Linked DNA regions of Diceros bicornis minor. The protein of the gene in region 2 interacts with the protein of the main gene of each other region in a pairwise test. Links are inferred from orthologs where the notes say so. Each region holds a gene or a part of one and is shown on either strand. Other genes may lie near its edges. The genes, in order: AGTRAP, FATE1, CCDC70 and KASH5.

Evidence for each region.
Region 1: the proteins of FATE1 (region 2) and AGTRAP interact in binary tests that used the Homo sapiens proteins (3 or more experiments, as listed by UniProt). The two-hybrid records come from large-scale screens. The link is inferred for Diceros bicornis minor from reciprocal best matches to the Homo sapiens genes FATE1 and AGTRAP.
Region 3: the proteins of FATE1 (region 2) and CCDC70 interact in binary tests that used the Homo sapiens proteins (3 or more experiments, as listed by UniProt). The two-hybrid records come from large-scale screens. The link is inferred for Diceros bicornis minor from reciprocal best matches to the Homo sapiens genes FATE1 and CCDC70.
Region 4: the proteins of FATE1 (region 2) and KASH5 interact in binary tests that used the Homo sapiens proteins (3 or more experiments, as listed by UniProt). The two-hybrid records come from large-scale screens. The link is inferred for Diceros bicornis minor from reciprocal best matches to the Homo sapiens genes FATE1 and KASH5.

Annotation. Positions count from the first base shown.
Region 1 is NC_080752.1:30,869,790-30,877,615, reverse strand, and holds the start of AGTRAP (type-1 angiotensin II receptor-associated protein), read right to left. Parts: upstream 3,668-7,826; 5' UTR 3,604-3,667; coding exon 3,577-3,603; exon of another isoform or gene 3,279-3,576; intron 1-3,278. UniProt on the Homo sapiens protein: Appears to be a negative regulator of type-1 angiotensin II receptor-mediated signaling by regulating receptor internalization as well as mechanism of receptor desensitization such as phosphorylation.
Region 2 is NC_080781.1:136,029,803-136,037,473, reverse strand, and holds the start of FATE1 (fetal and adult testis-expressed transcript protein), read right to left. Parts: upstream 3,674-7,671; coding exon 3,568-3,673; intron 2,532-3,567; coding exon 2,404-2,531; intron 1-2,403. UniProt on the Homo sapiens protein: Involved in the regulation of endoplasmic reticulum (ER)-mitochondria coupling. Negatively regulates the ER-mitochondria distance and Ca(2+) transfer from ER to mitochondria possibly implicating it in the regulation of apoptosis.
Region 3 is NC_080748.1:25,477,323-25,483,395, forward strand, and holds CCDC70 (coiled-coil domain-containing protein 70), read right to left. Parts: upstream 1,750-6,073; coding exon 1,048-1,749; downstream 1-1,047.
Region 4 is NC_080773.1:24,833,735-24,841,709, reverse strand, and holds the start of KASH5 (protein KASH5), read right to left. Parts: upstream 3,192-7,975; 5' UTR 3,178-3,191; coding exon 3,024-3,177; intron 2,638-3,023; coding exon 2,497-2,637; intron 1,887-2,496; exon of another isoform or gene 1,654-1,886; intron 1-1,653. UniProt on the Homo sapiens protein: As a component of the LINC (LInker of Nucleoskeleton and Cytoskeleton) complex, involved in the connection between the nuclear lamina and the cytoskeleton.

The DNA.
Region 1 (7,826 bases), on a different chromosome or scaffold from region 2:
CCAGTCGGTGTCCAACGTGTCAGAAGACTGGGAGAGGGGAGGGCCAATGGGCCAAGGCAGCAGGGGGTTGTAGGATGCCGGAGTTGGGGATAGGAGACCCGGGGACCATGTCCTCTGTGTCTGAGCCCCGGTGGCTTCTCTGAAATGGAGGTGGTACTCATCACCCACACGTCCCACGGGGGCGCCTGACCGCAGAGAGACCGCCCTCTGACGGTCACCGTGGGTACTCGCTTCATAACCACAAGTCCTTGAGGGGACAGGCATCCTGTAACAGCATCAGCAGCAGCTCCTGCCCCCGATGAGGATCTGCCTGCCACGTGTCTACACTGCCCTGAAGACTGGGCCCACATCCTTGCAGCTGTACGGGGTAGAGTATTTATCCTGTTTTACTTCTGAAGAAACTGACGACATGAAAGATTAAGTAAATGGGCCCAAATCGTAATGCTTATAAACAAGAGATCCCAGATGCGTATCTCAGACTCAGTCTGTCTGGCCAGAGATTTTACGCTAATAAAAATGTAATGCCACACTGCCCCCTGGACCACTGGATCCTCCTCTTATCACCCTAGAGGGCAGGGCCTATTTTTAGCCTCTTCTTACAGTGAGAAAACTGATCCTCAGAGAGGCAAAGAAACCTGCTCAAGGGCACACAGCTAATAAGTAGCAAAGCCTGGCCTTGAACGCAGGTCTGTCTGGCCCCAAGGCCCGTGCTCTGCCCTCTGTGCTACACTGTGAGGATTTGGAAGAGCAAGGGGAGGGTGGATGGGAACGAGGAAGTTTAACCTGGAGGAGGGGAAACCAAAGGGTTACGTGGACCAGGCCTTAGACCCTTTGTCCAGCCCTGAGGGCCCATGGGGGATGGGGGGCCCTTCCCAGACAGGTGTGGACAGACCTAAGGTTAACAGACAGATCAGCACACAGAATATACTCCTACCGGTCCTGTGCAAACACTCGGTGACCTGCTACATGAGGTAGTGAGGTCCCCGAGGGTGGCAGAGGCTAAGGGACACCAGTCAGGAATGCCATAGAGGGGACGCAGATTCAGGCAGTGGCTGACTGCGTGGGCACTGGAGCCAAATACACGGATCTGAGCCTGGCTCCATGATGCAGAAGCTGTGTGACCTTCGGCAAGTCGCCTGACCTCTCAGAATGCTGCCTGCTCTTCTGTAAAGTAGGGACAATGGTGCTTGTTTCATAGGGTCGCTGTGGATCCGACGGCACAGGGAGGTGCACAGGGGTATGCAACACTTGACAGCGTGCCTGCCAGGTAGGTAGCCCTGATGCGCCGTCCTCATCACTACGATTATGAAGCTGGTGTCCCTAGTTCTTAATTCTAATGCTCCATTACCCCCTGGACCCTCCTCCCAAGGGCCTTTTCTCACCAGACCTCATGAACCCAAGGCTAGTCCTTTCAAAGCTTGTCACAGTGTTATTCCTGCAGCTCAGGACTTGGCTCATGGATGGGGCTCAGTTAGGGACTGCCCTTTGTGCAAAGGGCCTGGGGCAGCTGTTTCTTCTCACTTGGCACCACTGCCCACTCTGGCTGGGCTGGGCACAAGTAGGCATTCAGCCAATGCCCAAGAAATGTATGAAATGAGGGAGTGGGAGGGAGCCCAGGGCCACAGGGTGCCTTTCCCCAGTTCCGGAGGGGCTTTGATCTCAGAACATTCCACTCACCTGCCTCTGAGCAAGGAGGCAACAGCTGCCCTCCTAGGGTGGCCAGATTTAACAACAACAAAAATACAGAACACCCAGTTTATTTGGAATTTCAGATAATGAATAATTTGTTAGTATGTCTCAAATATTGCCTGCGATATACTTATACTTAAAAATTATTCCTTGTTGACCTGCAATTCAAATTCAACGGGATGTCCTGCATGTTACCTGGCAACCCTAGCCCCTCAGGGCCTCCCAGTACTTACTTGTCTCTGACTGGGAGCAGCTAAGACCCTTGGAGACATGGAGTCTTGTTTCCCAAGTCAAGGGAAGGACCAGTCATTTTATCCTGGGCACCGGAAGCCAGCACAGCTCACACCTGTGGCCGTGAAGGCCCATCAAGTGGCTCAAAACAGACTAAGCCCTCCCACTGGACATAAATTGTGGAGGCAGAAGTCAGCCCAACTAACTGGTGGCCAGGAGAGGACACGGCTTGGAAGTCTGACCCTGGTGGGTTCAAATCCTGACTCTGCCACTCAATCCCTGTGGGACCTTGGCAAGTTACTGACTTGATCTGAGCTGAAGTCTGCTCATCTCTAAAAAGATGACAATATCAGCTTTCTGAGAAAGCTGTTGTCATGAAATAAATAACCTGGCACACCACAGATGCCCCATGAGTGAGAGCCCTCCGCCCTCTCAATTCCTGCAGCTCTGTCCCTCACCTGACCCCCTCTTAGCAATTATTTTAGGCAAATCTCTAATGAGAGAAACGGCAGTCGCATTAACCCCACACTGCCTGGAACACAGTGAGTATTAATAACAAACTTCAGTTGCCCTCACATAAATTTCTTCCCAGCTAAATGTCCAACCCAGCTGTTGACTGGAAGCTTCGGGGCGGTTTGCCGGAGCCAGTATGATTAAGGAAATCTGCCACGTGAAGTCACAGCCCAGCGTCTAATCATCCAAATATGGATGATGCATTGTTTTGTAGTCATCTCTCTTAGTTTCCTTTCGCACCTGACACCATGGGTGCTAAATGCTTTGTCACTCCTGAGTAAAAGGACATTCCTGGACATAGTCTGGAAAGAGCCTGCACTGAGACCCAAAATGGCAGCTGTGGTCCAAGGTTCACACCTTCTTGGCCAAAGCTCAAGGCCTCAGTCCCTCTGTCCACACAGAGCAGGGAGGCACAGCCGGCTGGGGGTGGCCGGGGAGAAAAAGAAGAACAGCCTCTGGCATATTGACAGCTGAGAAATCGGCTCAGGAAATGAAGACATCTCAGGAAGCCCCGCGGTGCCGTCCCAAGTGCACAAAGTTGGGGTTTTCTGCTTTTAAGTAACTTCCATGGGGCTCGTGTTTCTTAGAAAATAAGGACGCGAGATCTATAAACTTTGGAAAACCACCTGTCTGGGAACATCTGATTTTCTTAACCAGATTCAGCAAACAAAGGAGGCTCCTGGGGCGGTGCTGCGCGTTCAGGTGACCTCTCTCTCCGTGGAGGGGAGGTGGCCGCCTCCAAGCCCCACCTCCGGCTCTCAGTGCCTCCCCCTCAACGCTTCACCCCCAGCGCCTTCCTCTTTCTCCAGGGGACTTATGGGCGCACAGGCCAAAGCGATCCTCAGGGGCCGGGCGCTCCCAGCTGGCGGGGTCTGACCTGGGAAGGCGCGGCCCTCTCGGTCCCCTACCGCCTCCAGTTCCCTCTCGGTCTTCCCAGCTGGCCTTTTCCTGGATCTCTCTCCCTGTTATGGTCTGTCTGCCCGCCTCCTTCTCACTTGGGGTCTGTACATTTCCTATCTCCCTACCACCGCTCTTCCCCAAACCCTCGGTCCTCTCACCTCTAAAATTCTTCTTTAAAAGAGCAAACGCCCAACAGACGCCAGGAGACCCGCCCCGCGCCCGCCCCGCCCCACCCGTCGCCACCTTCAAGTTCACCGCGGGCAGCTCCATCCCGACCAAGGCGGAGGGCACCTGCGCCACAGCCTCGGGGACTCCTGGGCTCCGAACTCGGGAAAGAAACTTGCCGGCCCCGCCCCGCCCGCCGCGGCAGCTCTAACCCCAGTCTGGCTCCAGACCACGTGAAGCGGATCACGTGACCCAGGCCCGGTTGCTAGGAGACGGCGTCGGGCTTCTGGCGCCTTTCTCCAGCCCAGGCAGTTCCCGGGCGCGCTTGGAGAATCATCAGGATTTATGTTGCAACGGGGCAATATCTTGGTAGGTTAATATCTCAGCAGGTGGACTGATGGGACCAGCTGTGTCCGGGAAATCTGAGGGGAATGTCCAGGTGCAAACTGCGGATGCGGCAACAGCTGAAGTCTCATCCCTTAGGGCCTCTCTCCTTCCGTGTGTTCGAGTGGAGACATTTACAATACCTACCTCATAGGATCCTTGTGAGGATAAAGGAACTAATTCACGCTGTTAAAGAAAAAATCATTCTGACACTTGTTAATACGTAAGGAAAACTTTATTCAAGACTATTGCAATTGGGATTTTACAAGACGGGAGAGACGTCAAGTTCAGCTCCGGGGAGACAGCAAGCACAAGTGGGGATTTCTAGCCGAGCGGCAGCGTGAGGGGTCAGTGGATGGACAATTGCTAAGAGGAGACATCAAGGCAAGGGGAATTCTTGCTAAACTGACCTAACAGGATTCTTGCTAAAGGCAGACCCCGGGCTTAGACATCCAAGTTGGGGGATGAGGAGCTTGATCAGATCTCAAGAGTAGGGGGATTCTCGCTAAGCTGACTCAGCAAGATTCTTGCTAAAACTGGGCTATGCATACACAGCAAGGACAGGAGGGTCAGAGAAGGCCAAGGTTTAGGCCTAGTGGAGAAGAGCGCTCAGAGGGGCCTACTAAGGTTGGGTCAAGGAGAGAGTCTTTGTCAAGGTGAAGTGCCCAGAACAGCGCCTGGCACTCAGGAAGTGGGGAACACACATAAGATATTGTCGTTATCAAGACGCAAGGACCAACTGGTTGGAGCCCACATGAGTTAATATACCAGAAGCTTTAGAACAAATCTAGCTGAAGAATGAGCAGAAAAGCTATGGGACACACTGTGTCCAGAAGAAGGAAGATTGGAGAAGAAAAAGCTTCTGTCAACGCACTGTCTGCCCCTCGGCTGTGAATGGAGGGAATTGGGGAAGGAAAGGGCTGTCTCACCTGGGATGTCTCTCAAACACTGTTGACTACCCTCCACCCCCAAAAAGGAACTGTAATTCCCACTACCTCCATCCTCCTCCCCACCCCATCCTTCACCCATAACCAGAGAAAACGTTCATTTGGAGAACATCAGCTTTCATTTAGAGTCACCTGGGGGGAGGGTCCCCTCGGGGTCCATCAGAGTGCTTGTTCTTCCTTCCAGGAGGGGAGAAACCACATGGAAACAGGCCAGACCGCCTGCTGGGTCCTGAGAGCACATCAACATGCTCAGCGTATCAAATGGGCGCTCTCCAGGAGCAGAGAAAGGATTTTTCTGGGTGAGTGAGGGGACTTTTGCTGGGTTGCAGGGCCCACCCGCCTAATTGAATGGCCCGTTTGGAGACACAGGCCTCCAGCCCAGGGGACAGAGCAGTGCAACATCTGCCGTTGGCACTGAGAGCTGGTGAGCTCTAGAGACCGGCCAAGAGGCGACATCAAGTTTGGTTTTTCGGGATATAGAGCAGAGAGGACTAGCTCTAGATCAGAGCAGCAAGAATCTGAGTCCTGGCTCTGTCCGCGTCCTGGGTGACCTTGGGCAAGTCGCTTTCCCTCTCTGTGCTTCAGTTTTCTCATCTGTACCATGAGGATAGCAATAGTATCTTCCTAGAAGTGTTGTTAGGATTTGTTCATACACGAAAAGCTCATAGAACAGTGCCTGGTATACAGTAAGCACTAAATCAGGATTGACTACTATTTTTATTATTAGTTAACTATTGTTATTGGCAGAGTACCTAGAAAAGAGTAATTCCTCCATAAGTGGTGGATATTATAACATTATTATCATATTACTATTTATCAATTCCTTCTAAGAAATGTTCCCCATCCACCCCAGATCCTTGAGGTGTTTAATTCCAGTCTGTAGTTGTGTAATAAGACTGTGATTACCTTGTAAGGAGAAAATGCAAAACAAACAACTGGGGTTACAGGGACATTTATTAAGTACTTATTTTGTGGCAGACAGTGTGAAAAGTCATTCATAATAGATGCTCACAAAAACCCCATGATGTGGATCCTCGTCTTATCTTGATTTACAGTGAGGTGATTAAGGTGAAGAGAAATTCAGAGGCTCCCCCAAAGGCATACCACTAGTTGGGTTGAAAGTGGGCTGGGGACCCAGGAGGTCTGGCTCCGGGACCCTGACATTTAGCCACTCAGCTCCAAGCCTACATTGCAGGAAAACGCAGCCTGAGATGCAAAGGATGGAGCGAGGAAGGAGGGGAAGACAGCTTGGAGCTGAATGAAGCACAGGGCTGGGTGTGTGGAGTGTCCCTGCAGCTCACACAGTGACCCTGCCTTCATCCCCTCCAGCTGGGGCCAGAGACACGGGGGAGGGGCAGACCCAGCAGGAGGTGCGGTGAGGGGTGAGAGAGGCCAGAAGAACAAAGGAAAGAGAAACTATCCGTGTTCTCAAAGGAGCCAGAGTTCCTGCCATGACCAGTCCTGACTATGGAAGGACACATGGACTCCACAAAGCACACTCCACAAGGCTTTGGGGTCATGTTTTCAGTGAGTACACTTTTGGAAGTGAAGTTTAAATTTTTCATGTTCCTCACCCATGAGGGACAGACAAGTTTTATCTTTGTACCTTCAACAAAGAAACTGACATGCGGAATAGATTCATTCATTCATTCTTTCATTGGGAATGGTTACCTACTTGGGTAAATATGTGGGAGTGGAATGGCTGGATCATGTGGCAGGTGTATATTTAACTTTTTATGAAATTGCCAAACTGTTTTCCAAGATGGTTGTACCATCTTCTTAGCACTTATCAAGATCTGATGTTATTGCCCTATCAGTTGACTTGTTTCCTTGTTTATGGTCTGTCCCCGCAACTAGACTGCAAGCGCTGGGAGGGTCTTGCGACCTCAACACTCAGCCCCGTGCCTGGTGCACAGCAGGTGCTCAGGGAATGAACTGACGTAGACCAACTGAACAATATGTGTGTGCCCCTTCCTCCCATCACAGGCACCTGGAGGACCTGCCACCCGACTCTGCTTGTCCTCAGGATGCCACTGTAGTCCAGGCTCTGCCCTGGAAGCCATTCAGTCAATGCCATTTGGTTATGAAGCCATTATGCAAATGGCTGATGAAGCCATTGCTTTCTCATGGTTGCTTCTGTCCTTTAGATAAAGGTATATTTTACATCCCTGCCTTGCCTCCTCCCGGCAGAGTGATCTGGGGTAAGTTATCTAGCCATGCCCAGCCTCAGGATGCTTCTGGGGCTCATGTGGGATAATTTACACAGCATGCCTGGCACAACTCCTGGCACTTCATAATGCTCAGTGAGCAAATAGCTGTCCTGCTCCTATGAAAGAAGGCAGCATCCTTTAGCATCTCTCAGCATCTCCTGGCCCATGACAAACGCCTGTTGAACTGGAGCAGCAGACGAAACAGAGAGAAGACACCATGCACCTTTCCTACTAGCAAAGCCGGGGAGACGGACCTCAGCATGTCTGCGTGCTGCCGCCTCCCCGACCTCAACCCCCAGCGCTGCCACTTTGTAACCATGTGGCCTTGGGTTAGCACTTAATCTCTCTGAATTTTTTTCTGCATCTAGACAATGGGGACAGTGACAATCAGTTCTGGGGCTGTGTGAGTCATGAAGGAGGCACTGAATAGGGAAAGGCTTTGAAATGGTTTCCAGCTGTCCTTCGGGCCACAGCGTACTGGACAGCCCACAATTCTGATGTGGTCCAGCCACTTCCATTCCTGAGTGGGTAAATCAAACCGGAGGAAACGGCAGAGAAAATAACCAAAACACTGTCTGAAAGGCACCTGTGGCTGTGAGAGAGCACGGCCCTCCACAAGAAGTATGACAGAGAAGGGCCTGGGAGGCAGAGCCGTGGCCTCTTGGTGGCACAGGGATTAATGCTGGGATTCGGTCTGGAGCCCTTTCCCCAGTGTTTCTGCTCAGCTTGTCACAGACACGCAGGGCTGTGTGTCTTGGCCTGAGTCTGGAGGGCTGAGAGCCCTGGT
Region 2 (7,671 bases):
CCTGGCTGGCAGCCAGGCACTTACCCCCAAGTGCAAACCTGAACTAAATGAATGGGAAAGCGGGGGTGGTAGTGCCACAAAGTAGAACCATCATTTAAGGATACCCCTGCATGACGGCCCATTCCTCCCCTGCCCACCCTGCTGAAGTAGAACGTGCCATCTGACAGGCCTCACCACAGCTCAGAGTTCTAGGTTGGCTCTTGTATTTGCCTCAATCTTAAAAAGAAATAGAAAACCAAGGCTCATCTGTCACCTGAGAAAGATCTGCAGCCTTGCCACCATGCTCCATTTGTTGTAATAATGCAAAATGGATCTTTCTCCAAAGTGCACACAGATATGGGTGTGACATTTTTTGTGTGAACAGTAGTTCACAATCATACTCTTTTATTTTCCTCTTCTTCTTCTTAATACACCTCAAAAACAGGATTAAAAGAGGCCAGCCCAGGTGGCTTAGTGGTTAAGATTGGCATGCTCCATTTACACGGCCCAGGTTCGGTTCCCAGGCATGGACCTACACCACTCATCTGTCAGTGGCCATGCTGTGGTGGCGGCTCACATACAAAAAGAGGAAGATTGACAGTGGGTGTTAGCTCAGGGTGAATCTTCCTCAGCAAAAAATAAAATAAATAAAGCTCTGGCTTCCATGGCAGTTGTAAAAAAAAAGTTGCATTAAATGGACAGTGGGTGTCAAGAAGACCCCAAGACTATAAAGGGGGAGTCGATCAAGAGTCTCTCCTAGAACAATTTCCACACCATCCCCTTGATTTAGGTAGATTGAGATCTGAAGGACAAAAAGTTTTTTGAGAGGTTTGAAGGCAAAATAAAGAAGAGTGACTGGCAGCTGGAGTTTGTTTGTGATAACATAGTTTGTTTTTAGCACATCAATATGATAAGAATTAATTTAACAACATCTGCAAGTCAATGATAACTTACTGTGGTCACACATCATAAGACAGGTTTAACTGTTCAAAAACAGTTGTCTTGTTACTTTTTTGTTTTTAATTTTAGAAACCCTCTATTTATAATTATATACATTGTAGAACAGAAGACTTTTATGCAAATTTGATGGAGATTAGGAAAATCTATGAACTGCAGCAAATTCCAGCTTCTCTCAGTTAATTACTTCAAAAGTGTTATTTTCATTTTCATGTACTTTTTAAGGCACACTACTTTTTTTTACTCAAATCAGCATAATAATATTATTATTTTTTTTGTTCTTTCATGTTGTGGTTCTCTCAGAGGCAATAACAGTTCCATGAATTTTTTTACTCAAAAATAAATAATGAATAAATAAATAGAATTGATAATTTTCTTAATTCTAAATTTCTAAATTTAATTTCTAAATTTAATATAACGACTCTATTTTTTAAAAGTGTACTCCTCTGGTCTTAATAGGTAACTTTAATTAATCCAGAGATTATACCACCACCACCGCCTGCCACCTCAGTCTCAGGAGCATGGGTGGCTTGCTGGAGCCTGACTTGCTAAAGCAACTTGATTTGGCTTCAGTCTTTGGACACAGGAAGCTGATTCAATATTTCTGGTTCATTTTAATTCCCAGGAGGTCTCTGACCTGGGAGCTCTTTTTCTCTTTGGGGGTGGAATCATTTCAGCATTTACAGTAACCTATTCCCTAGAACATTCAGGTCTCCCTCCTCCCCAACCATGTTGCCTTCCCCAGTAACCTCTGCAACAGTGTAATAACCATGTTTCTAAAACTTTCCCTCACCCACAGTGAATGTAGTTTAAAGGATTGGCTACAGAATAACAGGACTCAGGTGAATCCCTAGAACAGTCAGGTATCCCTCCTCTCCAAAATGGCTGCCTTTTCCCAGGATCCTTTGCAACAGTATAGCTGCCATTTTTTTTAGAACATTCCCTAACTCACATTGAATGCAGCTTACAGGATTGGCTACAAAAAGGCCAGGTTCAATTGATTGGATTTCCTAACAGCCAGGGAGCACAGGAACCTCACTCGCCTTACCCTTGTCCCAACCCTGAGATATATATATATACACTTATATATATTTATATTTATATATATGTAGAAATATATATAAAATATAGATATATATGTAGAGAAATATATATATTTTTAATAGAAAGTGTCATTTCACACACACTAGAGTTTTACAGAGTAAAGTACATATATGTACTCCCCAAGCAATACGTGCTTCAGGCATTCTGGACTCCCAAGGTTGAACTCCCAGCCTGTCAAATGATGGCCCTGACTTCTCGCTGGACCTCCCTGCCCTCGTTTACCTACCTGGTATACAGAAGCTTCCTCCGCCCCCCAAGTTAACATCTGGCCCTGCTCAACCTACCATCGTCAGAGTGGAGCCCCTACAGCCAGTACTCCCAACACCAACCCAGTCACCATGTGCCAAGGGCCCCATACAGTACCCCTTTCTTGGGCTGGGTGGCAGTCATATTCCAAACCAATTGGCCTGTAGCAGAGCCAGCAGCCTTTGGACCCAACTTCTGTTGCCGCTGAGAGGTACCCAGGGACCGGGACCCACACTCCATTATTTCTAGGAAAAATAACAGAAGCCCCCAGAACACCCATAGAGGCTGTACCAAGGCTTCCTTGGCACAGCACATACCAGAAAGGATAGGGTCCCCAAACTTCTTAGGAATCATTCAACACTCATTCACTGCTGTCCACTGGTCAACCCCAGGCCTCAGTTTGTTCATCTGTTTAAAAGTTTAGCAAGTATTTGCTGAGGGCAAAACTCCGAGCTAGGTTACTGGAGAAAGAGCAATGACTAAGAGACAGCATTGCAGAAATCAAGGAACTGATTGTGTGTGTGTATAGGAGGAGTGAGGGGGCAAAACAGAAACTAATCCATCAGTGTAGATTCAGATCAAGAGATATATGCTTCTAAAATGATAAAAATAGGGCAAGATGACGGAAGGAAGGGGCTACGTCTAGAAAAGTTGGAAACAACATTGAGGCAGAGATGTGAAAGAGAAACAGAGCCCATCCATGGAAAATCTAGGGAAAGAGCATCCAGGCAGAAGGAACAGCAAGCACAAAGGCTGTGAGGAAGAACCAGTGTTGGGGTGTCACAAGGACAAACATAACTGCAGTATGGAGTGGGGCACCATGCCACAGCATGAAATATGTTGAGTGACCTTGATAGGATCCTGTAGATCGTGGTAAGGAGTTTGGATTTCACTCTAAATGGCAGAAGGCACCGGAGAGTTAGGAGAGAGAATTGATCCGATTGATCTTATAAATTAAGCCCTCCTAATGTTCTGCAATAGACATAGTGGTGGCTTAGACGACGGGGAGACCAAGGGACCACACACGTTGGTCCCATCCTACTCCCTCAGGGGTGCAAAATGCTCACATCATCAATCCCTTTCCCCCTAGCTCCCCTGTCATTCAAGGCACAAATACATGCATATGCACACCAAGGCACAGACATGCACACATACCCACACATACATGCAAATACGTACATGCATATATATGAGCGTCTGCCCGGCCACACATGCACATTCTCCAACACACACGCACAGGTGTAGACACCCAAGGGAAGGAACATTTCAGAGGAACCTCACCTGCTATCACCAGGTGCTCTTGGCCTTGCCCACGGCTTCCAGGAGCCAGTTCTTCGGCCATAGACATTTCCATCTCCTCCTTGATGCTAGGGGGGCCTCCTGCCATCACAACCAGTTGTTCACTTATAAGCTATGGCCAAGGATGCACAGGGAGAAGGGCACAGAGGAGGCACTTGGAAAATCAGCTCTTTGAGGGGTAGGAGATCAAGGAAGATATATCTGGACATGGGGGTGGAGCCAGACTCCCTCTTTGGGCTCAGGCCTTGGACCCAGCACCTTCTGTTCCTGCTGTATCTTGTTGGCTGGTTTCGAGGCCTTCTCCCTGCTACTCTGTAAGCAACTTAGGAGAAGAGATAAGGTTCAGAAACTTTGCCTGTGAGAACTACCCTGGCTTTCAGGTCACCTGATTTTGCCCCATTGTGGAGCAAGTGGGGTCCAGCCTCCATCATTTCTAGAGAGATGCAGGGACTGGTGCAGGACCCCAGAGTCAGTCAGTGGTCAAAGCAGGGTTAGATCTGAAGCCTGTCATGGCTTCTGCAAGCCGAGCCCTAGCTACCAATCCCAGCCATAGCGCCCTTCAGAAGGCATCCTCTGCAGAGCCTGCCTCCCCAAATCCAGAGTTCCCAGGAAGGGGAGATGGGCTTTTGATGCCTTTGGTAAGCCTGAGCAGGAACCATGAGAACCAAAGGAGAGAGGGGTAGGAAAGAAAAGACCTGCATGCAGCCACTGGAGCCCCCAGCGTCCCCAGGCCCTACACCCCCTGGTCTAAGTCCAAATTCCTCCTCAGCTTCCCTACTGATTAGGCCACTGTGAGGGTCAGGTTTATGTGTTCACTTGGCCAGCCTACAGACCCCAGTTATTCCATCAAACACTAATCTAGGTATTGCTGTGAAGGTATTTTGTAGCTGTGGTTAACACCTACAATCAGTTGACTTTAAGTAAAGGCCATTATTAACTCTTGACAATGTGCATGGGCCTCATCTAATCAGTTGGAAGGCCCTCAGAGCAAAGACTGAGGTTTGCCAAAGAAGAAGAAATTCTGGTCAAGACTGCAGCATCAACTCTTGCCTAAGATTCCAGCCTGCTGGCCTGCACTGAAAATTTTGGCCTTGCTAACCCCACAATGGCATGAGCCAATTCCTTAAAATAAATCTCTATATACATACACATATGTACATGTACATGCATATGCATATACATACATACATACATATGCATATACATACATACATACATCCTATTGGTTCTGTTTCTCTGGAGATCCCTCACTGATAGAACCACCAAAGGTGACCCCTCAGCTCTTGGGAACAGCCCGAGAGCCCCTGGGGGTAGAGGAGGCTATTTCTAAAAGGAACCAAGCACAGCTGGGACAAGATAGGGGGAGGAGGAGGAAGAGGGGAGGGAAAGAGGAAGAAAGGAAGGAAAGAGTGATGGAGAGGAAAGGGAGGGGCCAGGACTTGCTTAGAGAGGGTGGTATGGTCTGGGCTGCCTGTCTCCCACCTTGGCCCCACCTGTCCAGCACTTGGACCAAGCTCTTCAGAGCAGAGCTGACATAGGCCCGGCCTGCATTCCTGAGGGCCCCAAAGAAGCCCTTCCCAGCTCCAGTGCAACAGCTGCTGCGATGAAACCCGAGCTTTCCGGAGCGCCACCTTAGGAGCAGAGAAGTGTGCTCTGTGGCAGTTAGGAGCCTGGGAAGCAGGAGCCATTGCTTTCTGCCAGGCTAGTGTTGCCAGATTGAGCAAATAAAAACACAGGACACCAATTGAATTTGAATTTCAAGTAAACAGCAAATAATATTTTAGTGTAAGTGTGCTCTGTGCAACATTTGGGACATACTTACACTAAAAAATTATTCATGGTTTATCTGACATTCACATTTAACTGGGTGTCCTGTATTTTATCTGGCAACCCTGTGCCCTGTCCATCCTTGCCATGATCTCAAGATTTGACCTTGAGCAAGTCTTTCCTTCCTTTGGGCCTCAGTCTCCCCATTGGACGATGGAGTTAACAATCCCCTCCCTAAATCGTGGCTGAATTGTGAGAGCACTCAAGGTAGTAGAGCTGGCAAGACCTTCCATTATTGATCTCAGATCAGATTCTCCACTGACTGCCAACTGTCCTTGACTAGTTGGGGCTTCCTGGGCACTGGGACACTGGGCCCAGGTACACGCAGAGGCACTGCCCTCTACTGGCAAAGGAACCCACCACCTAAAGTCAAGCAAAGAGGGTGACTTCCTTCCCAATCCCTATGCCCCCAATGCTAGCCAGAAACTCGGGCATTTCACCACCTTAGCATGCCTGTTTCTCTTGGATTGGGCACCAAGGATGGCTGGGTGGTGGGAGAGAGAATTTGCTGTGTGACTTTGAACTTGTCCCTTAGCATGTCTCTCTAGCATGCTAACCTTTTCCCTCCAATATTATAATTTCCTTCTGAAATTGCCCCAAAGTCTCTCCTCAAACTCTTCAAAAAGGGCCCACTGTCTGGCATGCCAACTTCGGGGGCCGGAAGGGCTGGAGAACCCTGGACACAGAAAGATCTGCCAAGCATTATGGGGGCCCATGGCCAAGTGAAAGTGGTGGGCTGCAAAGACCTAGACCCAAGTGGAAGGCTCCCAGAGAAGAGGACAAGGGAGCCTGAAGTGCTTCCCACCCAGGAGGTTAGACATGCCTCTAGGAAGGGGAAGAAGGAGTCCAGAGAACATTGGGCTAAGATGTGTGTGTATATGTTTGCAGTGTGTTACACAAATGAGATCGTACATTTGAGGTACATGCTGTTCTGCAACTTACTTTTTTAGGTGAACAGTGTGCCTTGGGGATCTGCTATGTCAGAACAAATCTACCTCATGTCTTTTAAACACAGCACAGTATTTTGCTGCACAGCTGCACCCTTGTTTATGGACCTGCTCATGGATATTTTGGGTGTCTAGAGCTTTTCGCTTTTATAAACAATGTAGCAGTGAGCATTCCTGGACAGGCCTCTCTGCATACATGTGTAAATGTTTTTGTCCAGCAGGTGCCTAAAAGTGGAAATGTGGGGTTCTAGGATATGTATGTTGGCAATTTTGACCAATATTGACAGACATTGTCAATGTCCCCTCTAAAGAGGCTGTGCCAAGTGGGACTTCATCAAAGGGAAGAAAGTGCTGATCTCTTCACAGCTTTATCAATGGAAGATATTATGAAACTTTCTAAAAGGCATCATTATGCTGGGTGAAAAATGATCTCTCTCTCATTGTTGCTTTAATTTATATTGCTTTAATTACAAATAAACTTGAGCAATTTTTCACGTTTATTGATCTTCTGTATTTCTTTCCTGTGAACTGTCTGCTGGAGGGCTTGGATATTTATTAAAATAAGAGCTGTTTTATTAACAGAAAGAGATGGGGAAGACAGCTCTCCCTCCCTTCGAGATAAGCATCTCCAAAGAAAACATATCATCTTTTTCCCTAAAGTTGATTGTGAGCACACAGCCTCAACTGGGGACCAAACAAACCTAGTTAATTGCACCCAAGTTTGGGCTGAAATCTAGAGGGCCTCCAGCTTCCCACAGAGTAGGTGTCCAACTTGGGCTGTTGCCTGCCTGTCTGACTGTCTGCTGTTGTCTTGTGTCTGTCCGTCTCTCTCCCTGTCCAACTACCTGCCTCCACCAAGGCCTTCAAACCACTGGCTTCTTCCAGCTGTTCAGCCAGCTGTGGACTCGACTCAAATTCCCGACCAGCTTACGGTTTGACAGTCCTGTCTGTGACCTGCTCCCACCTCTCTTGCAAGCAGCAGTGGGAGGTGGCAGGAACCCAGGCCCAGGGTCAGTACACCTGGGAGTGACTCCTAGCCCTGACACTGGGACATCTTACGCAAGTTGCTTCCCCTGCCCTGAGCTTCAGTTTCTCATCTTCACGTGGAAGATTGAGCTAAAACCCAGTTTCAAACTGTTTCATGGTTTCAGGGAGGTACACTGGGGCTACCTGGGCTTCAGGGCAGACTCCAGCTTCTCTTCACCCAGAGCAGTTCCGCTTTTATCGCTTTCTTATATTGGGGTTCTATGGAAGAGGCCATTCAAAGCCAATGAGTGCGATGGTCTGCTGCCCCCAAGCTCTGCTCAGAGCC
Region 3 (6,073 bases), on a different chromosome or scaffold from region 2:
TTGGTGCTTAATAACAATGAGGGCAAGGTCTAAGAAAAGGGAAAGCAGGAGATGTTTGCCTTGACATTTCTTACTACCCACCTTCTGGTCATTTCCATACCAATGCCCGTATAGGCTATCTAATCCCAGAATAAAAGTTGGGCATGTAAGTTGCTGACCACATTAGTGTACATTCATTTGATGTATTACCTCCCTGGGGCATTTTAATTTTAAATGAATGGAAGGAAGGAAACTCAAAGGAAGGAATTGATAATGCAGAAACGTGGGCACAGTGAGAGCTGTGTGAATGGGAATATACGGGGCAGGGAAGACTCCCTTACACCTCGCAGATCGTCCTACATGATCCACTTTGACTCCATCACCAGGGAAAGGCAGTGCTTTTGTGGGCCGAGCTCTGGAGCTTCAGCCTAATGCCATGCCCCTTTCTCTTGCTACAGAGAATGGGCACTTGAGAAGTTTCCTAGAAACCGGAACTACAGGCAAGTGGACCATTAGGGGATTCTGCCTGTGTGTTCTAAATGGCCTAGCAGGTCAGGAAGAATTGTTAACAGCACGGTAGCCTTTTCACTGCAGAAAGCGTCAGCCCACTCTAGGCCTCCAAGACTGCCTAGAGTGGAGCAGAAATGATTGCCCCACAGTGTGACAGAGGCAGAGAGGTCTCAGCACTTCTCTATCCCGATGTGTCTCTAGCTGGCATTGTCTGAGCCTCTCTTCTACTCCGTTCTGACTCTTTTAAGGAGAGCCACAGTCTCTATTCAAAAACACCTAAACATGCCAGGCTTATGGTGAACTGCCTGAGACCAAGATCTACAGATAGAAATACAGCCTGGAGGATGGGAATACGACCTTGGAGAATCACAAAGCCTGGGAAAAATGTATCTGGCCTTCCTTGAAGAAGAGGCTTTCCAAACCTCTCCTCAGGACTTTATTAGATCTTTTGAAGCAAAGAGACAAATAAGTGCATATTTTCTCCAGCACATGAGGTCACCCTGGACTTGAATTCCAATCCAACAGAGTCTGGACCCCATGGCCCTTCATCTCCTGGGCTCATGCCCTGCCTCGGAAGAAGGCTGGCGATCGTGGCTCTCCATTGATGTTGTAGTGCCTGTCTTCAGGTATCTGCTCCTCAGCAATATAGCCCCCACCTTCTACCCAGAATGCTTTCTCCTCCTCCCAGAGGGCATTCTCTTCCTCCCAGAGGGACTTTTTGTCCTCCCACAGGCCCTTCTCCTCATCAAGAAGAGCTCTTTCCTCTACCCACAGGGCCTTTTCTTCCTCCCACAGGGCCTTGTCTTCCTGAAGAAGTTTCCGGTCTCTTTCCCATAAGGCATTGTCCTCTTTCCAGAAGGCCTTATCCTCCTTCCAAAAAGTGCGATACTTTTTCCAAAAGGTTTTCTCTTCTTCCCGGAAAGATTTTTCCATTTCCCAGAAGGCTTTTTCCTCTTTCCAGAAGGTTTTCTCGTCTTCCCAGAAAGGTCTCTCCTCTTCCCAAAAGCCCAAGATCTGGCTCCGGAAAGCATGGATTTTGTCCTGGAAATTCCACATCTCTTCCCTGAAGTCTTCTATTTTCTCACGGAAAATTTTCATCTCTTCCCTAAAAGCCTTTTCTTCCTGAAGCTTGTGGATTAGTTTCTTCTGGCGAATGTTGGGCGAAAAGATGGCTGGTGACCGGAAGCAAATGAGCCCCATCCATTTGCTTACCTTGAAGGAAAACATCTTCCTAGTCAGCCAGAATGGTGGGGTGGCCATGATGGAGCACAGGGCCCTTGGCCAGGTCCAGGTCAGCTGGTCAAACCCTGTGGGGACACCAGAAAGAACATGTTCATGAGTATCATACGCCAGAGGACAAGCTCTTGGGTCTGTACCATTGGATTTGGGAAAGTTTAACCACCGTTCTCTTTGTCTCGTTGGTGGTGTGTGTGAAGAACAAGCTTTGGTAGAGAAACATGCTAGGTGGTCGTGGTTTTGGGCTGAAGAGGCAGTCAATACATTCAAGCTCAAGCCTGTTAAATCATAGAATCTCAGCCAACAAGGACAGTGGATCTCAACTAGGGTATCAAAACACATGAGTGTGACACGATCACTTAAGGGGTGTGTCACAAACAATTCTGTTTTGCTTTTAAATAAGAAAGTACCACAGCCCCCAAAAGATTTACTTTGTTAAATCAACCAGATTCCATTTAAAGTATTTTTTTTTAATTTTATTTATTTATTTATTTTCCCCCCAAAGCCCCACTAGATAGTTGTATGTCATAGTTGCACATCCTTCTAGTTGCTGTATGTGGGACGCGGCCTCAGCGTGGCCAGAGAAGCGGTGCGTCAGTGCGCGCCCAGGATCCGAACCCGGGCTGCCAGCAGTGGAGCGCACGCACTTAACCGCTAAGCCATGGAGCTGGCCCAACCAGATTCCATTTAAACTTTGGCATTCTCACTTGGGGAATTGCTTATAACTTTCTTATGGACATGCTGACAGCAGGGTGCCCACACATGTGACTGTCCTCTATTATAACCCATCTGGGAAACAGAGAGTGAGAGCCACTGAGCTAGGGGAGACTGTTGCAGTAGAAGAGTCTATTTTGGGAACAGAGGTTTAAAATAAGAAGGTGACAGACAACGCCAAATGTTGGCAAGGGTGTGGAAAAGAGGAACTCTCACGCAATATCGAGTAATATTGAACAATAGTGAAGACACTTTACAACCCAGCAGCTCCGCTTCCAGATATGTACCCTGAGGCAACTCATGAATTGTGACCAGGATACATGTACAAGGATCGTCAAGGAGCTCTGTTCAGAAGAGCTCAACACTGCAAATGATCCCTCTGCAAATGATCCAATGACCATCAGAATAGAATGGAATTAAAAAATGGTGGTATACTCAAGCAATAGATAGCATTGCGATGTGCAACAATGTGGGTGAATTTTATAAACGTAACGTCGAAAGAAAGAAGCAGGATCAAAGAACTTCAAAGAATAAATTTCCCAAACAGGCAAAACTAAACTCTATTGTTTAGAAAAATATACTTAGGTGATAACACAAAAAAAAGAGAAGTAAAGAAGTGAGTCTCATAAGTCAAGATAGTGGTTACTTGTGTGGGGAACGTGATGGGGAGGTGAGATACTAGTGGTTGTGATTAGGTGAGGATATGAGAGGGTCTTCTGAGGGGCTAGCAGGATTCTATTTCTTTACTTGGGAGGTGGTTACATGTGTGTTCATTATAAAAATATGCTAAGCTATACACGTATATTTTATGTACTCCAGTAAATGCATTATATTTCACAGTAACATAAAAGCTAGGGAGAAAGGAAGAAAGAAAGAAGAAAAAACAAAGAAGGAAGGAAAGGAGGGAGGGAGGAAGGAACGAACGAAGGAAGGAAGGAATGAAAGAAGGAAGGAAGGAAGAAAGGAAGGAAGGAAAAGTGGAAGGAAAAGACAAGAGAGAAAGAGAAAGAGAGGTCTTCAAACATTGCCGTATAGCTGAGGTATCAGATATCAGAACTAACCACAAAAATTTCAGTAACTACAATGGTGGCTCAAGGGATGAGAAGACGGGATGGATATGGGAAGGTGGTTAGAGTGCAGGGAAGACAAGGGGTACACACACATGGTAAGGGCATTGATTTCGATTCTGAGTGTTCTGGAAGCAGCTGCCAGGGTCTGGCCTCACTCAATGGGCCTTGCCAACCACCAGACTGTGGAGCAACATGAGCTCTTCAGGAGATTTCCAGGCTTTCTCCTTCTTTTTCCACTGTGTGGCTTGGGAGCAAGAAGTGGGGGAGAAGGAAGGACACAGAGTGTGTGCATGGTGAAGAGGTGGTGGCTACGCTGTGGGCAGCTGGTGACATCATCATCCACCCAGTCACACAAACCAGAAAGCTGGGGCTCATCCTTTACTTCTTCCTCTCTCTCATCAGACTTTTAATCAATCATCAAGCTCTCCCATTTAAGATCTTTAATATTTCTTGAAACCATGCCCCCTGCTCCATCTCCTTGACCACAGCCAGTTCAGGCTAAGATGCCTGTAGCAGCCTAACTGGTCTCTCTGGTATTGATCTTACCCTCCCATCTGCCCCTACATTGTAGCCCCAGGGGTGTTTCTAAAACACTGTCTCGTCACATCACACCTGCTCACAAACCTTCAAAGACCTCATAGCCCAAAGATCAAATCCAAACACCTTAGTGAGGCCCTCTGCAACCCAACTCCTGCTTGTCTCTCCCTTTACTTTCCCCTTCAGTCTCCACTCAACTCCAAAGCTAAGTTTCAGTAATAATGAGCTACATTCAGTTCTCTGGACACCACTTGCAGTTTCCTGTCTCTATGCCAAGGCATACGCTGTGTCCTCTACTGAGATTACCTTTTCCTCCCATTGTGGGCTTGAATTCCTGTTCATCCCTTCCTCTCTGAAAGCTACTCAGACCCTCCAGGCAAGGTTCATCACCACCTCCTCGATGCTAATTGTCTCTACCCTCCCTTGGTTACTTGTCATGCTTGATAGAAATTAGTTGTGGACTAATTGCTGTGCATATAGGAGGTAATTGATAAAATTGTTGGTTGAATGGAACTGAATTTCATTGAAATTTGAAACTGTCATATTCTATGTTGTATTATGGTTATTTGTCTTATTCCTACTATTTTTGCAACTGCTACTATCTTTTTAAATAATTTTATTTATTTATTTTTTTCCCCAAAGCCCCAGTAGATAGTTGTATGTCATAGCTGCACGTCCTTCTAGTTGCTGCATGTGGGACGCAGCCTCAGCATGGCCGGAGAAGCAGTGAGTCGGTGCGCGCCTGGGATCCGAACCCGGGCTGCCAGCAGCGGAGCGTGCGCACTTAACCGCTAAGCCACGGGGCTGGCCCAGCAACTGCTACTATCTTGAGGTGAGAGAAAGGGCCTCATTATTGAAGTCCCCACGTTTCTTTCTTTCTGCCATGAGAACACATAGCAGGCCTTCAACAAGCGTTTGTGGAATTGGATTAGGTAACTCTTCATGAGGAAAGACTCAGGGTCAACTAGAGTTGCAAGATAGCTGTCAAAAACAATCAATTTTCCAACAATGAGATCAGTAATAACAATTGCTACCTGTACATTTATTCAGCACTTTTCTGCTGGGCATTTAACCTGCGTTATCTGTTTAATCCTTTCAACCACACTAAGATAGGTATCTTGATTAATTCCATATTATAACTGAGAAAACCAAGGCTTAAATAAGTTAAAAACCTGTTGAAACAGTTAAGTAGGTGAGTCAATATTCCGCTGGAAGCCAAAGGTCATGTTTATAAGTGCATTATGTGGTCAAGCACATTGTAAACACTATCAGGCTGATATTTTCACTATGAAGGGGTGTGTGTGTGTGCATTTGTATCAAGCACTGGACCTACCGATAACAATGCATTTAGCAACTTGGTCACTAATTTTAAATAAAACATTCTCTCCTCGTACAACCCTACTGCCGAAGGTAAATATATAGACGCTCACACTAAAAAGCAAATTAAAAAACACTGAATGTTATCACTAAAGAAAATAATTCTTTTTTTTTTTTTTTTTGCTGGAGAAGATTCTCCCTGATCTAACTCCCTGCCAATCTTCCTCTACTTTTTTTGTATGTGGGTCCCCACATACAAAATGATGAGTGGTGTAGGTCTGCCCTGGGACTGGACCCCGTGAACCTGGGCCACCAAAGCACAGCGCGCCAAGCTTAACCACTATGCCACGGGGCTGGCCCCAATAACTCTATTTTTCAACAAGCAAAATAAGATTTACAAAAGTCCGTTTTCATGTGTGAGACCTGTCTGTCCTGAATTTGCAAAGGAAAAGTTTGTGCAGGTTCTGTCCACTGGACATATCCCAAGACCAAAAGTGACCATCTTCCCACTTATACTAAAGCTATATTTCTTACTCCATGAGCAGTGTTTGCACTAACTAGAGAACTCGCTGAAACCGTTTAATAAATCCCTTTTTCCTTTTGGCCACAGATGCCATCTCTCACCCAATTCTACATTTCACACTGTCTGGTTTATCCCAAGCCATTATTTCCAGGATCTCTTTGGGCCGCACACTTCCTGCAGGTCTAGC
Region 4 (7,975 bases), on a different chromosome or scaffold from region 2:
ATGCGCAGGTAGAGTGCTGCCCCTCCCCAAGGCTGGGAGGGTTAGGTCTATGCACGTGAAGAGCCCACACATACACACAATGTGAATGTCCCGGCTCTGTCCACTGCTGGGTCCACAGCGCCTGCATATAGTAGGCACTCAATAAATGCGCCAAGATATAGGAGGAGATCCTCTACTCTAGGAGCCACTGAGACAGCCCAGCCTCTTCCCCAGGGTTGGAAGTGACCCTCGAGACTCCCCGCCCTGCCTTTGGACAGCTGGGTATAGCAGCGGGCTGAGCACGGGCTGCAGAGTCTAGCAGACCCGGGAAGCAACCCAGGCAAGGGACTCAGCCTCTCCGAGCCTGTTTCTTCGTCTGGAAAATGGGGTTGGTCTCACCTCCTTCCAAGAGAAGAAATGAGAGACAATCTGGAAAGGCCTGGGCAGAGAGACTGGTACGTGGTGGAAGCTCAATAATAGAATGGAACACGTATTCGGCATTTAATAGGTGCCATGCCTCTTCTAAGTGTTTTGCACGGACCATGGTGGCTGCTATTATTCGCCCCACTTTACAGATGAGGATACCCAGGCACAGAGAAGTTAGGAACTTGCCCAGGGTCACCTGTTCCACACGAGTGCCCTTTCTCAGCCCTCTAACTCTTCAACGGTTCTTCGTAGTGAGCTAACATTCAGTCCCCTTGGGTTTGAGCCCACGTTCCTAGGGAAGGGGAGCAGGAACCCACATCAGGGGAGACACCAGGGCCCATGCCCGGAGCTTTACGGGCACTCTCGTTTCCTCCTCTCACTGTGCTCCCCACGTTACGGAGGAGGACCCTGAGGCCCAGTGAGGTCACAGGTCCAGCAAGGTCACTCGCCCAGAGCCGCTCAGCCAAGGAGAGCCAGGTGGAGTCAACCCAGCACTGTCTGGCTCCACATCTCAGGGGCCCTGAGGATCCGCACGTGTCTACAGTCCCTTCCCAGGGCCCTCAGGAGGATGTCACTCTGCTTCTCTCCTGTTCTCTTTCCTGTACTTTCTTCCTCAGTGTCTCTACCTCACTCTGTGTGTCTCTGTCCCTGCCCTTTTCTACTTTTCTCTCGGGCTCTTTCTATACATCTTCCTTCCCATCTCTCTCTCCCCTAAGCCCCGCCTCTTGGTCTCCCTGTCCTTTGCCCCGTTTTCTTCCCTGCGTCTCCGTCTCTGTGCTTCTCTTCCCATATCTCAGTGACTCTCCATTCCCCGAACCTTCTCTCTCTTTCCTCTGCTGCCTTTCTGGCTCTCTCCCCACCTGCCTTCCTCTGTCTCCATCTCTCCTGGGTGTGTCCCTCCCTTTCCTTCAGGAGCCTCCCGAAGCTGGCTCAGCCCTTTCCCGCGGGTTCCTCGGTGGCCGCACGCCCTCTGCTGGTGGCGGCGAAGTTTAGATGTCGGTTACTCCATCAGCCTGCCCTCAGGTTCCTTCACCGAGGTGTCTACCTTCCGCCTTCCCACCTGGAAAGCCTCCTGAGGCCTTGAGGAAAGACACAGGCTCTGCTGCTGGATGCTGGGAGCCTCTAAGAAAGGGACCCTGCTGCTGCCCTGGGGTGGGAGCCTCCTCCCCCATCACATGGGGCTCTCCCACTTAGATGAATTTCAGAGAGCGCCACCCAGCGTCTTCCTCATGAAGCCGGCTGTCACACCCAGAGGGTCTGCGTCCTTCCAATCACTCAAGGACAGTAACTGAGCTCCTATTCCGTGTCAGGCATCGTTCTGGGGCAGCGTAACCAACAGGGAGGGCAGCTCCTCGCCACAGGTGCTGCTTGAGCACTTGATCTGTGGTGAGTGTGAACTGAGATGCTCTGTTCGTGTAAAGTACGCACCAGATCATGAAGACTTAGTATGAAAAAAAAGAGAATCTCTCCAACATATTTTTATACTGATGATAAGCAGAAAGGAGATGATTTGGGACATATTAAGTTAAATAAAATCTATTATTGCCACTCATTTTGCCTGTTTCTTTTAAATGTGGCTCCTAACAAAATGTAAAATGACATACATGGCTCGCCTGTTGGACACGCTGCTCTAGGGACGGGGATACCAGAGTGACTAAAATGACCCTGCCTTGTGGACCTCATGCTCCAGTGGGGGAGACAGAGACTAGACGGACAGACAAACAGATGTCGGTGCTACGAAGAGAAGTGAAGCAGGAAAGGGGAGACAGCGTGACAGGCAGCTGCTTTACAGAAAGCAGAGATCTGAAGGAAGTGAGGGGGAAGCCCGCAGGTCCCCGGGGCAGGGGGACAGCGCCTGCAAAGGCTGCTGCTCTGGCCTCCCTAGAGCAAATGCGACAAGGTGTCCAGACCGGAGGGCACATAGCAGGCACTTAATCAACGATAGCTCTCTGTCTCCCACCCTGCACCAAGGGGGAGGCTCAGCCAGCCCAAGCCACCTCTCCAAAGTCCCCGCGTCACAGCCTGGTGCCCTCTTCACCCACTACTTCCTCCTTATCCTCCCATGGGACAGACAGGGGCCCAGCCACCTACTTTCTGCAGCGGCGGGGCTGCCCGCCCGGCTCTCTGGCAGGTCCATGGGCCACTGCCTCTGCTCTGCAGCCGCTGGCGACGCTAAGAGCCTCCCTCCATCACTGGGACAGACTGACAAAGCACCGGCGGCCCCGAGAGCTCCTGCAAGGACAAACAGAGAACGGCCTCCTCAGACCAGCCACCCGAGGATGGGGACCGTGCTGCCCCTCCTGTGCCCCGGGCCACTCTGGGTTCTCAGAACCTGTTCGCCCACCCTGCCTCGACCAGAGCAGCGCCCGCTCAGACCTGTTTTATGGATTGGAGGTGTGGGCTGGGAAAATGGGGGCCCGAGGAGCGGGCGGCGGAGATCAAAGGGGGGCTACTGGGCGGGGGTCACTTGCCTCCCCTCCTCCCCACAGCTTGTTAAGCCCTCAGCCCTGCTCCCGCAGGGTGACTCTACCCTGTCCCCTCCTCTCCCTCTCTACAGCTCTGGGTCAGGCCTCCATCCCTCCCCCTCCAGTCCATCCCCACAGGGCCCCAGAGCTGACCTGTCCCTCCTTTGCTCAGTGTTCTTCTACGGCTCCCCAGCACCCGGGGGACAGAGCCTAGACCCTGGATCTGGCATTGAAGGCCCTGCACGGCCTGGCCCCACCTGTCTCTCCACTCCAAATCACACTTGCTGCTCCAGCGACTCAACTGCATGCTGTTCCCCAAAGGCTGTTCCCCCCTCTGGGTCTCTGCCTCGGACACCCTCCTCACCAGCCCTTCCTGTCTCGGCTCACATGTCCCCTCTGCTGGGACAATGTTTCTGAACAAGGTGCTGTCCCTGGGCTCCCCCACCGCCCTGGGCTACTGACATTCTTGCCAGGTCAGCCTGTATTTGGAGCTGCTGGCCTTTCACTGGAGTTTGATCCCGCTCCTTCCCTGCTCCCAGCCCACCCATGGCTCCCGAGTGCCCCCAGGACTAAGTCCCAGTCCCTCAGGCTGGCGTGGTACACAGTGGTTCCTGCAACTCCTTGCCTCTTTTTGTCACTCTTCCCTCCACTGGCCGATCTCCAGGTTGCTCACCCCCATCACGGCCATGGGAGCTTAGCATCTTCCCACGGTCCGCCCAGGCCACGCACGCACCATCCTCACCAGTGGTCCCCGCCCTGGTGACAGCTCTCCTGGGAGCCTTCCCCGAGTCCCTGGAGCAGTTAGGGCCCCTCTCCTCTGTGCCCTGACAACGCCCTGTCCTGCCTCCGTGATAATCAGCTTGACCACACGACTTGCCGTCCCACCTCCAGGACACTTGCAAGAGTGAAAGGGGCGCTATTAACAATCACACTGGACAGTGGTGCCCCTCGAAGCTGAACTGGGCACACTGGGGCAAATGGTCACAGAGGGTCACCCGGGACCTGTGTGTCCTCCCCCCACCTGCTCAGCCCCCTTTCCTCACCAAGCACTCCCCACTCCCTGCTCTCCCTGGCGCCAGACGGGGTCCACGGCCGTGGAGCGCGCACTTCTTGGTGGCTTTTAGAACGTCCTAGAAAAAGGGGTCTTTGAAAAGAGACCCTTCCAGGGTTTGGACGAGCCCAGAAAGTGCATAAGGGGGGCGATGGCCGTGGGGCCTCAGTGGGGAAGGGGCCCTGCAAGGCTGCCGACCTGCACTGGGGGCTTCTGACAGGGTTCGGGGACAGACTCCTGGCGGGGGAGCAGGGGCTGTTGGGTGATCTTGGGGGTCTCTGACGGGGAGACTTGAGCAGGAGGACCTAGGCAGGGATTCTGCGGGGAGCCTCCAGCTGGGTTTCTGGGGGTGAGGGCTGTCTCTGACTGGGTTTCTAGGGGGGTCTCTGGATTCCTGGGGGATCTCTGGGTTTCTAGGGGGGGGTGTCTGGATTCCTGGGGGATTTCTGCCTGGGTCTATGGGGGGGGTCTCTGGATTCCTAGGGATCTCTGACTGGGTTTCTAGGGAGATCTCTGGATTTCTGGGGATCTCTGACTGGGTTTCTGGGGGGGGTCTCTGGATTCCTGGGGGATCTCTGACTGGGTTTCTAGGGGTGTCTCTGGATTCCTGGGGATCTCTGGGTTTCTAGGGGGGTCTCTGGATTTCTGGGGATCTCTGACTGGGTTTCTGGGGGGGGGGTCTCTGGATTCCTCGGGGATCTCTGACTGGGTCTCTGGGGGGGGTCTCTGGATTCCTGGGGGATCTCTGACTGGGTCTCTGGGGGGGGTCTCTGGATTCCTCGGGGATCTCTGACTGGGTCTCTGGGGGGGGTCTCTGGATTCCTGGGGGATCTCTGACTGGGTCTCTAGCGGAGTCTCTGGATTCCTGGGGGATCTCTGACTGGGTTTCTGGGGGGGATCTCTGGGGATCTCTGACTGGGTTTCTAGGGGGTCTCTGGATTTCTGGGGATCTCTGACTGGGTTTCTAGAGGGGTCTCTGGGGGGTCTCTGACTGGATTTCTAGGGGGGTCTCTGGATTTCTGGGGCATCTCTGACTGGATTCCTGGGGTGTCTCTGGATTCCTGGGCAGACCTCTGACTGGATTTCTAGGGGGGGGCGTCTCTGGATTCCTGGGCAGATCTCTGACTGGATTTCTAGGGGGAGGGGCCTCTGGATTTCTGGGGGTGTCTCCAACCGGATTTGCGAGGTCTCTGATAGGTTTTTGGGAGGGGAATCCGACAGGATTTTTGGTGGGTTTGAGAAGATTTCTGGGGCTCTCTGACAGAACTTTTGGGGTCTCTGATAGGATTTGGGGAGGGAGTCTAATAGGATTTTAGGGGGGTCTCTGACAGGCTCTGAGGGAGAAGTCTGACAGAACTTCTAGAAGATTCTGAGAAGATTTCCAGGGTCATCTATAAGATTTCCTGATGGGTTCCTTTCAGTATTTCTGAGGGTATTTGGTCGGGATTTCAAGAAGAATTTTAGCTAGATTTGGAAGGCCCTGATATCGGGGACTCTCCTCTACGACTTGGGGGCTTTGCCAGGACTGCGGGCGGGGCTCTGACAGAGCTTCTCTGGGGAACCTCGCTGCAGCCAGGGCCAGGGCTCACCTGAGGCCACGTCCCAGTCTCGGGACACAAACGAGAGCGACGAACAAACAACGGCAGTTACGTGGAGAGCAGGTGCGCGTGCGCCGTTCCCGCCAGAAAAAGCAAAGAGGGCCGGGGCGGGACCGAGAGCTCGCGTGTCGCCCAAACCCCGCCCCCCCGGGTTCCTCCCCTGACGCAGGCGCACACCGGCAGAAGGCGCGCGCCGGTCTTGTCGGTTACCTGCAACAGTGAGGCTGCGCATGCGTCTGGCTGCCCGGGCGCGCTCCCAGTCTGGTGGGGCGGGCGCATGCGCGTTGGCCGAACGGGTGACTGCGGGAGAGATTATGGCTGGGAGGGAGGGGTGACGGCGACGTCTACGCTGGGGTCTTCTGTGCGGCCTCAAATTTCGGTGAAATGGGCCCAAGCAAGGGAGAGTTGGACTGAGGGACTCCTTGTCCATCCCTCCCTTCTTATCAGCCACCAAGCCGTGCCCTTTCTGCCCTCTGTTCCGTGCCAGGCTGCACGTCACCGTCACAATGATTTGCTGCCTCACCACTCCCGCGCCCTTTTGTGGCTCTAGTCACAATGTATTAACAGGTCCCCGAAAGATTCTTTCCCAAACCGTTTCATTCATTCCTTTTAGGAGAGAGTGGGGAAAAAATATTCTCAGCTTTTCTGGCTGGAGAGAGGAAGAGAATTACATCTAACATTGACTCCCAAAAAGGGGGATTTGAGACAAAAGATGTCTCACCCACTCGGCCTCTCTGCTAGCCCAGATACAGAAAAAGAATCCTTTTGCATCCTCTTGTTCATCCAGCCATCATTTATTCAGCTGTCACTTCCTCAGAGAGACCTTCCCCTGCCGCGGTGTCTACACTAGGCCTCCATCTTAGTATCCACTTAACTGTTTTTTTAGTGGTCCTCATGGCCCGTCTCACCATGTGACACTCTGTATTTGTGTACTGTCTGTCACCCTCACTGCAAGGTGAGCTATATGCAGCAGGAGACTGTTTTGGGGCTAGAACATGCCTAGTCCAGTGCGGACACACAAAAAATGAGCTGAGGGGGACGGCCCCGTTGCGTGGGGGTTAAGTGCGGGCGCTCCGCTGCTGGGCACCGGGTTCGGATCCCGGGCGCGCACCCAGCGCCACTTGTCAGGCCGTGCTGTGGCAGCATCCCATATAGAGTGGAGGAGAATGGGTACCAATGCTAGCCCGGGACCAGTCTTCCTCAGCAAAAAAAAGAGGAGGATTGGCATGGATGTTAGCTCAGGGCTGATCTTCCTCATGCGCACACACAAAAATGAGCTGAATGAATGAGTGAATGAATGGACAGAATCCATGTCTCTTAACTACTGGGCAGTATAGAGTGATGATAAGGCTGTGGGCCTGGAGTCAGACATTTGTGGGTTTGAATTTTGCCTCCATCACTTCCTAGCTGCAACCTTGCCACAATGGCTTACGCTCTCTGAGCCTCAGTTTTCCTCCCAGAAATGAAGATAATAATTGCTTCTTATGTTACCTTGAGGACTTAAGGTGGTAATCCTTGTTAATTGACAGTTATTATTTTGGCTATTAGATGGTGGCTTGTTATTAGGCCTGGGAAAGAACCTGTTTGGTGGGTGATGTGGTGAGCGGTTAAAAGCGTGAGATATGGAATCAGACAAAGGTAGTGCCATTGCTGTGTGCCCTTGGCAAGTGACTTCACCTCTCTGAACCTTAGCTTCTCTAAAATGGGGACAAATAATATCCACTTCATGGGGTCTTATGGGAGTTCAGTAAGAATGTTTACCAATGTTTGCTTAGCACAGGCTTTCAAGTGGTGGTCTCCATTAGCTTTGCTATAATTTCATTCTTTTAGTTTATTCCTGCAGTAGTTCTTGTTCCTTCCTTCCTTTTTTGAGGTCTGGGTAATTTTGTAAAACCTGAAAAAATTAAAAAAAAAATTTTATAGTATGGTTGCAACATAAGGTGCTAAATCTTAAGTTATAGCTCAGTTAGTACAGTAATACAGTAATGAAACCACCCGTATAAAAAAAGACAGTATTGCCCAAAACCCAGAAGCCTTCTTCACACCTCCTCCTAGTTATTACCCTCCAAAGGTAACCACATTTGGTTACAGCTTCTTTCGCTCAACATTATGTTTATGAGATTTATCCTTAGCAGTAGGTCATTCTTTTCACTGCTGTATAATATTCCACTGTATGACCATGCCACCGTTTAACCATTTTACTCTTGATGGACATTGGATTGTTTCTGCTTTTTGGCAATTATGAATACTGTTGCTATGAATTATTTATTTAGATTTTCTTTAATTACTCTCAGGAATGTCTCACAGTTTTCTGTTTAGAGATTGAGCAAGTATTTTGTTAGGTTTGTTCCTAGGTATTTTATATGCTTTTATATATTTTATATGCATTATGTATTATATATTTTGTATTATGTATTATATATTTTATATGCATTATGCTAATGCAAATCATATTT